2 linked regions of the Saccharomyces cerevisiae S288C genome follow. The main gene of each other region encodes a partner of the protein of the gene in region 2 in a complex. Each region holds a gene or a part of one and is shown on either strand. Other genes may lie near its edges. A codon is read from its position in the direction of its gene.

Evidence for each region. Proteins that work in one complex are often made in the same cells at the same time.
Region 1: the proteins of SMC2 (region 2) and YCS4 are in contact, whole or in part, in a cryo-EM structure (PDB 6YVV), measured with the Saccharomyces cerevisiae proteins. Residues at the interface, in NP_116687.1 of Saccharomyces cerevisiae: Ser53 (codon at 4,083), Ala59 (codon at 4,065), Ser60 (codon at 4,062), Leu62 (codon at 4,056), Gly111 (codon at 3,909), Gln124 (codon at 3,870), Asn139 (codon at 3,825); in NP_013374.1 of Saccharomyces cerevisiae: Val33 (codon at 3,979), Ile34 (codon at 3,976), Gln37 (codon at 3,967), Asn95 (codon at 3,793), Thr99 (codon at 3,781), Leu104 (codon at 3,766), Gln107 (codon at 3,757).

Annotation. Positions count from the first base shown.
Region 1 is NC_001144.5:683,128-689,556, forward strand, and holds YCS4 (condensin subunit YCS4), read right to left. Parts: upstream 4,076-6,429; coding exon 545-4,075; downstream 1-544. Other genes in the region: CMG1 (Cmg1p), read left to right, coding at 1-434; protein phosphatase regulator PIG1, read right to left, coding at 5,956-6,429. UniProt on the Saccharomyces cerevisiae protein: Regulatory subunit of the condensin complex, a complex required for conversion of interphase chromatin into mitotic-like condense chromosomes.
Region 2 is NC_001138.5:215,868-221,869, forward strand, and holds SMC2 (condensin subunit SMC2), read right to left. Parts: upstream 4,240-6,002; coding exon 727-4,239; downstream 1-726. Other genes in the region: MET10 (sulfite reductase subunit alpha), read left to right, coding at 1-552; 60S ribosomal protein uL2 RPL2A, read right to left, coding at 4,640-5,400, 5,548-5,551. UniProt on the Saccharomyces cerevisiae protein: Central component of the condensin complex, a complex required for conversion of interphase chromatin into mitotic-like condense chromosomes.

The DNA of each region.
Region 1 (6,429 bases), on a different chromosome or scaffold from region 2:
GTGATTCCGATTTATACAATCCAGGCGAAGATCCGAGAGACTTTAACGTACTTTGGAGATCTTACGTTATGCAACTAAATGAGGAAGTAGCAAAAAATGACCTAAATAATCACAGTAACAATGATAATGAAGATAAGAATAATATGATACCAATGGTAAATGAAAGTTTGGAGGCTTCGCCTGCAATAAAAGGTGAAAAGTTTGGACGTCCTTCTACATTAATAGATTGTGATACTTCAATTATCGGTAGTCGCATTACAAAAGACACAGAACTTGCTGAATTAGAAGAATTGAGCATTGAAAAAAGAATAACAAAATTGAATATATTCCTGAGGTCCGAGAAGTACTACTGTTTTTTTTGCGGAATCAAGTATAAGGATGAAGGTGATCTCTACGAGCATTGCCCAGGAGTGAATGAAGACGACCACAAATGAATTTTATCGAGATAGGTAAAGTCATATTTCAAGAAGAAAGAAATGAACAGCTTTTATTTATATAATAACATATAATATAAAACGGAAGAAACGGGTAAACGTCAGTTCGATTATTCTTTTGCGGATACAACCTTGAAACCTTGCTCCAATAATGCAGTGACGTCTTCATTTTTGTATGGTAGATTGTTTAGTACGAATGCAATATCATCCCATTGCTTTTGGGTCTCGCACTTTCTCAGTCTTCCAACTAATTTCTCGTTTAATTGCTTTTGGTGCCGTTCCTTATCGATAAAAGTTAACAGAAATTTGATGATTTTCTTGAAACTCTCCTTACCCAATAAATCATCTGACGATAAATTACTAAAGATATCGATGAATCCATTATAAATGGCGTTGTCCTTGGATGCTAACTCGGTGAAAAATAATCTGCACATATCACTTATTCCCTGGTCTGGATTGTCTAGGCATTTGGCCATTTCTCCTAATTGTCCTTTAACCTTAACCTGTCCAGCTAAAATCAAGAAGGTAACTGTCATTAAACATGTTCTTTGTACCATTAAGTTTTCATCATGCAAACGGCGATACAAATAATCTGTGTTTTCGTCTACTAAGTTGTTGAAGCATACTGCCATGTCACCTAGTCCTAAGACAGCATTTGAGCGAATAGTAGGATCAGGAGATTTTTCCATTACTGTGATTAATAGCGGCAGGCTCTTTTCACAATATTTTGATGATAAACACATTAGTTTTTCTAGACATAAGGTTGCCGTTCTTTGAAGCATTGGATCGCTAAACCTGCTTGAATTAGAAACAATCTCTTCTACAATTGGGCAAAACTTCCCTAATATAGATTTTTCTCCAAATAGTAATTCATTCTCTTTTACAAATTGAATAGCATCCGTGAAATCGTCCTCATTAGTACCTCCTATCATTTCTAGCTCTTTATCACCACCGTTATCTTGTGTGGTGTTAGTTACATCTGCACCTTGGTTTTTTACTTTACCGTTCCGAGTTTCTGCCTCGATCTTTCTTTTCTTGAATTCTGCCTCACATTTCTCTAGATAGACAAGTGTTTTAATTGCCACTTGTCCTACAATGAATAATAATTGACTGAGAGAAACAACTCTAGATGATTGTTCTAACGACAAAATAGAGTCTTCCTCTTCAGGTTTACCAAATGTCATCATTGTCTTTTCTCTAATCAGATCTGTAGCTAGTATATCGGGCTTAGAAGAGATTGTAAACAGTGCACTAAGCGCTTGTTCGCACATAGGATAATATTCATTATCCTTGGTATAGTTGATAATTATGGCATACAACTTTTTCACTGCAACATCTTCAAGCTCTTGATTTATTGCCTTGGTAATAATAGTGCTTCTCTTGGGAACCATTCTCTCTAACGCTAAACAAGAATACCGACAAAGGGTCAGATCTTTTAAACCAACGGCACCAAGTCCAATGTTTAAAAGTGACTCCAGTCCTTTTAATGCTATTTCGTTATCGGCTAACGATAACATTCCTAAAATAATAATAGAACCATGAATTTGTTCCTTAGAAAACCCTTTTTCGGAGTCACGGTTGTTCACATTTTGTTCTTTCTGCATACTGGCCTTCGATGCAGAATTGTAAATAGCCCAAAGGATATTAATGACATGTTGATCAATCAATTTTTGTTCATACATCATTCCTAATAGCTGTTCCAAAGAGGCCAAGTCTGCAATAGATGCGCCGATGCTTAGATTAATTAAATTTTTGGCAATATGTGCCGCCTTCTCCTGCATATTGCAACTATCTGGCGCGGTTAAAAATAGCTGCTTATAACATTCTATCAAATGTACTGATATACTCGTTCCTTCATCGTTTGTGCCCTTCATCCAAACCAAATGCAGCATTTTTTTTATACCAAATTCGCTTAACTCAATGTCAAAAGCGTCTGCTAAAACTAGGAAGTCCATTGATTCTAAAACTTCGTTTCTGTTCTTAGAAAACAGCAAATTAGATATCAATTCAATACTCTTGTGTATCTCTTTAATGAAACTAATGGCATCTTTATAGTAAACAATCATTAACTTTAGCTTCATGAGAACACTGGTATTTGTTGCATTTATATTCTCTACCTCATTTTCTATTCTAGAAAGTTCTGCGCTCTTATTGAAAGAACCTTCTAACTCGGTCCTACATTGACCTTCATCTTGTTCTACCTCTTCTTCAATCAAAGACCTTTCAATCGTGTCATTCAGAGTTTCTTGTGACTCTACTTTCTTTAAAGTGGAATTTAGCTGTGATTCAGATCCTTTGAGATATTCTTCCCATTCACTCAGCCTCAATTGGCTACCATGTATGGCCTTAAAAGGATGTTTTAGCAATAATTTTGAAAGTAACTTTACTGAGTTCCTACGAACTAAAGAGGAGCGGTCCTGCAATGATCGTACTGCCAACGAAGTAAATTTAGCTTTGCTTTTGTTAAATTTCGAACTCAAATCGCAGATCTTTGAACACCCTTGTATCGCCTTCGTTCTAACGTAGGGATTTGAATCCTGGAATCTTTCTTCTAGTAACTCAATAAGTACGGCTATTTGTTGTTTATAATGTTCCATAGTTTGTGGGTCTTGAGCCAATTCAGCCACAATATTTCCACATGCTTCTACAACGGAACATCTCAATGTTATAGAACTATTGTTGAGTAAGGTGATGACAAGATTCATCTGTCGAAGCATTATTCCTGGTGATAGCTCTGATAATTTAATCAAAAAATTTGATATTGCCTTTGGGCCTGTGGTATCCTTTGCGTTAAATACCCTGGTGCTGATTTCTTTCAAGATATCTTCTGTTAGTTGTGGATAGTTATATTCATCATTCAATAGTTTTAGTAATTCTGCATTAAAAACCGACAAATGAAGAAAATAAGTTAAATTTGTCATCAATGAACTTTGTATACTTGAACTTTGACCGTGATTTTTAACACACATAGCCAAAATCCTTTGAATAAACATCTTTAGTGATGATACCTTCGTCACAGGTTCAATCTCTAATAACACAAATAATGGTCTTGTGAACAAACCAATAAACAAATCCTTTTCAGGAGTTGTCTGAAATATCTTAGATAAGTTAATCTCCAGTAGCTTTGTTATAGATTCAAGCAAGTTTTCCATTTGATTACAGTCTCTTTTAAACAGCTCGACGTTTGCACTATCATTCTTACTGTTTTTGGCAGAACGGTTTAGATTGGTAGACTGCGAGGAGACCTTATGTAACTCATCTTGTAAAAACGTCAAAAGTACCTGAATAAGGTAGCCATACTCTTCTAAATGCCTTTTCCACTGCGGTATCAGGCCACCAATTTCAGTAAAGTTAACATTTGATGAGAGATTAGCCTTAATATCTTTTGACAGATTCGACAGAGATGAACTTATCAAATAGCTTAGTTGAGTTTGTAATTTCGGTGTTAAGTGCGGGAAGTCATGGCAAAGATCTATTAATGCTTCTAGTGAATCTGGACTAGCATCTATTTGTTCGGGTGAAACGGCCAATTGGTCTATGATAACATTCAGTTCTCTGGATGGGTCCTGCAAGCGAGGATATGATTCTCGATCTGTTGTTTGGAACTTGGTCAGATACTCGGAAAGGCTAAAGCCGGACATCTCATAAAGTAACGAAGTCAGTTACCACCTATCAAAGGATAAAGATATTGTTACTGCTGCTTCCTTTACCTTTCTTTTTTTTGGTCAGTGACAGGTTATTTTCTTTGTTTACTAAATGGTCGCAAGATTTTCGCGATGCGTTTAATTTTCATATTATTGCTTTCCAATTTACCCAAAGTGCAATTGACAAAGGCCATTAGTCTTTCTTTTTACAACAGTAAGAATATAAATATACAAGTGCAGTATTTAAGATACTTAATTCGAAAAGTGAAAAAAAAAAAAAAGAATCTGGAATTGGTTATTTTAATTTCTCATATGAATTGCTTTCCAAATTCTTGCAATCAATAACATTTTTTATTTATTTTTTTTTCAAGATCAGAACATGTATATATATATATATATATACTGTTCATACCAACAATTATCATTTAGTAGTAAAGTTTGTGATAACGATCAAGCTAGAAACTCCATAGATATCCTGACCCTTACTCGTTGTAAATAAAAGGCTCGCGACAAGAAAACAACGCGTTACTTGATAATAATTTTAAAATCAAACAAAAGAGGTGGGGGAAAGAAGCCCTTACTATTGAATAGCAGACATTTTATTCATCTCGCAATACTACTACATTTCTATGAAATATAACAGGTATAAAAAATGATTTCGCCCAGGATCGAACTGGGGACGTTCTGCGTGTTAAGCAGATGCCATAACCGACTAGACCACGAAACCTATTATTTATGTTTAATCCACGTTACACCACCAATTATACAAAAATAAAAAAGAATGACGGCAAAAAAGCAAAAAGTGACATTAATCATATTTGTTTATGTCTTATTCTACTGGTAGTATTCATCCATTAGTATATTACTCTCTGTATAAGGTTATAATGTTGAAATGATAATCAACTATTGTGTATGATCAATTGGTGAATAATTTGATAATTGTTGGGATTCCATTTTGCTTAAGGCAATATAATATTATGTATACACAATATACTAGAAGTTTCTCCTCAAGGATATAAGACTCAATAACATGGAAACAACATTTCTCCACAAAATTTTGTAATTATCTTTCTTCCATTTTATATGTTTCACATCCTATTAATCCTCAATTCTCGCATGTTCGGTTTCATATTAAATTTGACTACTGTTTCACATAGTATATTTGTTGAAATGAAACTCTAAAATATCATTTATTAGTAGTATTCATGTTACTAGAATCTATTATCATATGCGGTGTAACAAGATGGCATAAAGATTGGGAAACAGTCATCAAATATAATGGAAGCTGAAATGCAAGGACTGATAATGTAATAGGACAATGAAACATATAAAACGAAAGGTGTAATAATTATAAGATTTTGTGGAGAAATATTGTTTCTCTTTTATTGATTCGTATATTCTCGAGGAGAACTTCTAGTATATTTCACATACTCAATAATATAACGTTTACTAAAGATGGTGTTAACATGTTAAAAAAACTTCGATTGTTAAGAGTCCTTTTGTTATACAACTCTTTAAACGACTGTTTAAACCTATCATTTCATCACAAACTGTAAAGGTAAGAGTTAAAGCAGATATATCACCTATCAACTGCAGCTAAATATCGTGAAATGAAAAACTAATCGTTATTTGCACCAATAAAGAACGAAAATCCCCCACTGAATTTAAAATATTTCTAAAGAACTAAAGTCATTTCGACTAATGAGAAACTAAAGTCAGAAACAAAAATGCAAAAGCAATATTAACTTATGTGAGCAAAATATTTCATATCTAATCTATGAAGGCAAAAGAATATGATTAACTATTTTATTAATTTTAATTAAAATTTTATTCTCTTCATTCCAAGGATTTTGTTATTATTGTAATATGGGCGATGGTTAGGGTGACGGCGACTTATAAAAATAATCACGAAAAATGTGAATTTTATTAGGGCTAAGAGAGGTTCTCTCCTCATATTCTCCTGAGCTGTCACTCATATTATCACCTGGAAAAAATGGTAATGAGGTTGTGGTATTCAAGGGAGAAATTTCCGGAGATGAGCTTTCCCTCCCGCTGTTGATATAATCTTGGTATAGTAAATCTTCTTCCGCCTTTATGGTTGCAATGGATAACTGAGAACAAGAGGCTGATTCTACTGGTCGCTCCTCTTTTCTTTTCATCAATGTATCGGTAGAATTATTCCAAGTGGTGTAGGTGAAGGAAGTTCTATGCTCATCATCGTGTAATGGCGTCTCGTTTAACGTGGTCCTTGTCTTAGCGCTTTTCCACTCTTTGGCCAAATTATCTTCAAGCTTTTGTGTTTTTGAACCTAAGGTCCTATCATCGGTATTTAATGTGAATGTGTCATCTAT
Region 2 (6,002 bases):
GCTTCTAAGTATATCTCAGACCTTGCTGTCGGTTCAGAATTGGTCGTTAGCGTTAAACCATCTGTTATGAAATTACCACCATCTCCAAAGCAACCAGTTATTATGAGTGGTTTAGGTACTGGTTTGGCACCATTCAAGGCCATTGTTGAAGAGAAATTATGGCAAAAGCAGCAAGGTTATGAGATTGGTGAAGTCTTCCTATATCTAGGTTCAAGACACAAAAGAGAAGAATATTTATATGGTGAGTTATGGGAGGCTTACAAAGATGCAGGTATTATCACACACATCGGCGCTGCTTTCTCAAGAGACCAACCTCAAAAAATTTACATTCAAGATCGTATCAAAGAGAATTTGGATGAATTAAAAACTGCAATGATTGATAATAAAGGTTCATTTTACTTGTGTGGCCCTACTTGGCCAGTTCCAGATATTACTCAAGCTTTGCAAGACATTCTGGCTAAAGACGCCGAGGAAAGAGGCATCAAAGTCGACTTGGATGCCGCAATTGAAGAATTAAAGGAAGCATCAAGATACATTTTAGAAGTCTACTAAATTAATATAGTAATAAAAACTAAATATCTATTTATTGAACCTGTCTTGAACATTTCTATTTTTTTTTTACTTTTAGTTTTCTTCTATGCGCAAGCTTTTCTATTGGCTGCCAAATAGAAAATTATTGAAATATGATTACATTACAATATTTATTTGTCTTATGAAAACTAACCATCACATTATACTAACTACGGAGGTACCATCTTGAAATCTCGTCCTGAAGACCCTATTAGCATTGGCAAACATACCTTCTTTAAGCGAGACTACAATGAACTGAGATCCTTTAAACCTTGTTTTAATCAAATGACCTATATTTTGCGTATGACTTAAATCAAGAGCAGCATCAACTTCATCCAAAATATACATAGGCGCTGGTCGAAATTGCAACAATGCCATAATCAATGACAAAGCAATCAACGACCTTTGCCCACCGGACAATTCAATCAAACTTTCCTTCCATATATTACCAAGCTTTACTTTAACCTCTAAACCCTGCGTTACGTCCTTACCTTCGCATGGAACCAATTTTGCAAATGAATTTGGTAAAAGGTCTGCAAAAATATTACCAAAATCAAGTGTCACTTTCTCCCATGTTTTGACTAAAGTTTCTCTTTTATATTCGTTCAACTTCGATATAGTCTCTTGGATTTTCATCTTATCTTTTTCAATCGTTTTAATCATTGTTTTTAATGCTGCCTCCTTTTTCTCAACATTTTCTATCATATTCATAATATTTGGATTAACTTTTTTTCTGAGCTCTTGAAACTTCTCGTTCAATTGTTTACTCCTTTCTCTGTAAGTATCCAAATCGATACCCTCATTTTGTTTGACGATATTTCTCACCAGATCAAAATCCTCAAGAAATTCGTGTTTCTGTCGCAGATCTTCAATTATCTTTTCCATGTTGTTCGTATTAGACTTATATTTGTTCAAGTCATGGACCAATTTTTGTAGTTCTAATTCACTGCTTTTTTTCTCGTCCTGTTTTTTCTTTATCAATGTTTCTAATTCATTTAGTTCATCATCAATGTCCATCAACCTTTTCTTTTCTTCGTTCAGTTCTGTCTGGACTGTTACAAGGTCGTCTTCAACACCTCGTATCTTTCCCTCCAAATCAGAATTTTCCAATTTCAAACTTTCAATAGATTTCAAATGGTTATGCAATAGCGTCTTATTAGAATCTAGTTCTGAGCTCAATTGCTCTGTTTCTAATTCCAAGTTTTGAAACAAGTCATATTTACGTTCTGACTCCGATTCCTGCTCCTCCAGCTCTTTCGCCAATAGTTTCAATTCCTTCTTTAATTCATTTAACTTGGATCCTTTATCGCTATCGTACTCCTTCATGTCTTTTTCAATGGTCGAAACTTCTTCTTGACATTTCTTTAAGCTCATTTGCTTGGTTTTGATTTCATTCTCACACTCTCCAATGTCCCTCAAAATTTCTTCATTCCTAGCAATTATTTGGGAAGATGGATTCGCGTCGAGATTACGCTTAGCCAAATCCAATTTATGCAACGAGAGATTTAAATCACTTTGAATGGTCTTTGTTTTTTGCGATGTAGCATATTGCGTCTGTAGCTCTTCCGTTACATGGTTGAGATCAGCCTGAATGGTCTCAATTTGTTTTTGAATTTGATTGTATTTTTGAATATCAACTAATAACGATTCAGAGGTATTTCTACTACCACCAGACAATGTACCCTCTGGGTCGTATACATCACCTTGAAGGGTGATACTTCTAGCGCGGATCTTTGGATGGAAGGTAATTTTCTTTGCTGTTTCCGGATCTTCACAGATTAAACTATTTCCAAAAATAAATTCCATCGCTTTAGTGATAGATTCATCAAACCTTATTAAATTTATTGCCAATTCAACTTTCCCAGGAGCAATTTTCTTGGCTAAATCAAGCACTTGAGAACTTATTGGCCTCGTATATATCTTATCAAGAGGTATGATGGTAACACGCTTGCGTAATCTTCCTCTTTCTAATAGCTGAGTGGCCGTCTGAGAATCTTGAACAACAACATTGAATAGCCTACCTCCGGCACAAGTTTGCAAAGCAGTAGCATAGCGAATATTATCATTATCTATCTGGAAAAGTTGACCCACCACCCCATGGACAAAGCTGGCTTCAAAATTAGGATAAGGTTTCGTATAGTTAAATTCCAGATTTGTTACGCGTCTTTTTAAATATTCAGAGTTCTTACATGTTTGATAATAATGGCTCTTCAATTTATCCTCTCTTTGCTTCAGGTCTTTAATTCGTGATGGATCAAACCCATATTCGACTAGTCGGGCTCGTAGTTTATCGCACGTTTCTTGGCATTGTTTAACATGCTTCACATTTAACTCGTTATCTTTCGTGGCCTCCTTTAATTTAGGTTCAATTGTCAATAGCTCTTTCTTCAACAACTCCATTTTCATGCTTGATTTTTTTATCGCCAAGGAGACTTCATTCAGCTCAGTCTTTGCCTTGGCCAACTGTGCGTTATAACCACCGTCTGCGGCACCGGTCGAGGAAATACCTGTGGTTAAAGTGGAAACTAATTCTTCTTTTCGTTTATAAAGATCCCTTTGTTTACTGAGTTGTTCCTGCACCATTTTATAATCCTTTTCAGTGTTAGCGTATGCCGATTTTTTTTCGATTAGCTTTGCAGAGGAACTTGCAATTTCTGACTCCAGAGCCTTTGATTTTTCAGTAGTATCATTCAAATTTTCTACTTTTATCGACAGTGAAGTTTTCAAACGAGAAATTTCATTTAAAAGACCGTTCTCCTTATTTTCCAACTTGGAGATTGTGCCTTCTTTGTGTAGTTCTTTTTCTTTCTGAAGTTTGATTTCCTCGACATCCTCATTCAAACTGTCTATTTCTTCGGAAGTTTTCTTAACAAATTCATTTAACATTTTCATACGAGTCTCACCGTTCTCCAGAGTTTCTCTTATTGATGTATGTTTATGTTTAATGTTATAGTATTCATAGGATACAACAATTCGTTCAGTTTTTTCCAAATCAGTCTGAGTAGACTGAAATTCTAGGAACATTCTCTTTTCGTTTCGAAGTTTTTCCAGTTTAGGTTCGATCTCTTCAGTTAACAGAGTCCTGTTCTCCTGTAATTTAGTTTCTTTCTTAGACATTGTTCTTTCTGCCTTTTCCCTACGATCCTCGAACATTTTTGTCCCTGCTGCCTCTTCAATCAGTGATAAGATCTCTGAGGGTTTCATATTCAAAACCTTGGTAATTTTACCTTGCATGATTAAAAAATTAGGATTATTGATATTTAACTGCACGGATTGAAATAGTTGCAAAACCGACTGTTGAGGTGCCCTATGCCCATTTATCAGATATTTAGAAGTTCCACCAAGCACGACTTGCCTTGTAACAGAGATTTGAGGAGAGTTAGTGAACCCAATGGGAGAATTTGATTTATCGGTATTATCAAAAACAATGGTTACGCTTGCCTTGGTAACACCTGCTTGACCACGCTTATAGATCAAATCTTGCAGGCTAGATGCTCGCACAGTGCTCATTGATGCTATACCGAGCACGAAGCAAATGGCGTCCAAAATGTTCGACTTACCGGACCCATTTAGACCTGTAATAGCATTGAATTGAGGGTCCCAATCAGTAATGACTGTTCTTGTAGCGTATGATTTGAAACCATCAATAATCAATTCCTCTACCTTCATGCGGTAACGATACTAAAATTGACTTGTATTTACGTGGTCTGCCTCGAGATTTCTTGACTGCACCGTGTGTTTACTGTTGTTGATCTTAAAATTAGAAATGCCCATCATCAGAGCCACGCAACACGGTAATCACTATAAACGCGTAAGGCAGAAAGCCATTTTATTCAAGAAGTCAACCCCCTCCATGAAGCAATGCTTCACAGGGGAGAAGGGGGGAGCTTATGAGAGTATATTAAAGTTTACTTTGAAGAAATATTCTATTACTACAGAACAAAATCTAATTTAGAAATTTTTCTTTAAAAATAAGTGTTATGTTATATTGTATTGTTTGCTTTGAGGAATTTTTTGAGTTATCTTTTTTTTTTTAGATCTTGCTTAAAGAATGACTATTTTACATAATCTAATCTTGGGTCTTTTGAGAACCACGTAACAAACCAGTTCTTCTGGCGGCAATCAAACCGGCCTTTTGACCAGAAACAGCACCTCTAGAGATGGTAGAAGCCTTACCAATATGTTGATGGTTACCACCACCGTGAGGGTGATCAACTGGATTCATGGCAACACCACGGGTCTTTGGCCAAGAGTTTCTCTTCAATCTGTACTTGTGGAAAGCACGACCAGCCTTCAACAATGGTTTGTCAACTCTACCACCACCGGCAATGACACCGATGACACCTCTGGCATCAGAAGAGATAACCTTCTTGGCACCGGATGGTAATCTGACTCTAGTCTTGTTTTCGTCTGGGTTGTGACCGATGATAATAACGTAGTTACCGGAAGCTCTGGCTAGGGCACCTCTGTCACCTGGCTTTTCTTCAACGTTGGAGACAATGGTACCTTCTGGGACAGAACCCAATGGCAAGACGTTACCGACGTTCAAAGAAGCCTTCTTACCGGCGTAAATGAATTGACCAGTGTGGACACCTTCGTTAGCAATAAAGATTTCTTCACGCAATCTGTACTTGTATGGGTCACGGAAGACAACCTTGGCCAATGGGGCACCTCTACCGGAGTCGTGGACAATTTGCTTAACGATACCACGAATGTAACCGTGACGTTCAGCATAATCCAAAGTTCTCAACTTGGCAGCACCTTGTCTCAATCTGGTGTGGGAGGTAAAGATAGAACCAGCACCCTTTCTTTGGTTACGAATAACTCTACCTGAATAAAAAATAATGAGAAAAAACACAGTTCTGTTAGTATACACGATACATTTTCAACAAAAGGAATAAAAAGACTGTAAAAGGGTGTGATGACATTGCGCCATTACGACAATCACATGGTTGTTAAATCACGGTGCTGACATACCCATTGCTTATTGATCTAATGGTTTCTTAGTTTGCTCAGAAATGGTTATTAGTCGCTAAAAAATGACCCAATAATAAAAAAAACGAGGTAATGATATTGAAGGAGGGGAGGGGCAGGGTTCAATCGATTATGCCTATGCGATAGTGCATTGCGTAGTAATCCATAGGTTCACATCCATGTGCACTGGTGCTGCGTTTGGCAATTCCCATACTATTCCAGATTGATCTGATCGTGCAGAGCAATGCCAAACCATCGACCGTAGGCCCAACGGTGAAACAATACGCGGAGAACGCTTAGCCGCTAGGCAGAACGCCTAGTTTACACAGTGGGAGAATGAGGATAGGCCTCTGCCTACGGTACCTTCGAATACAGGGAAAGTGGGAAGAGTGAGCTGCCGAAGTGAAAGAGGCTTACGCATTTTTTCTTTGGGAAGCGGACGCAGGACTAAGCTCATC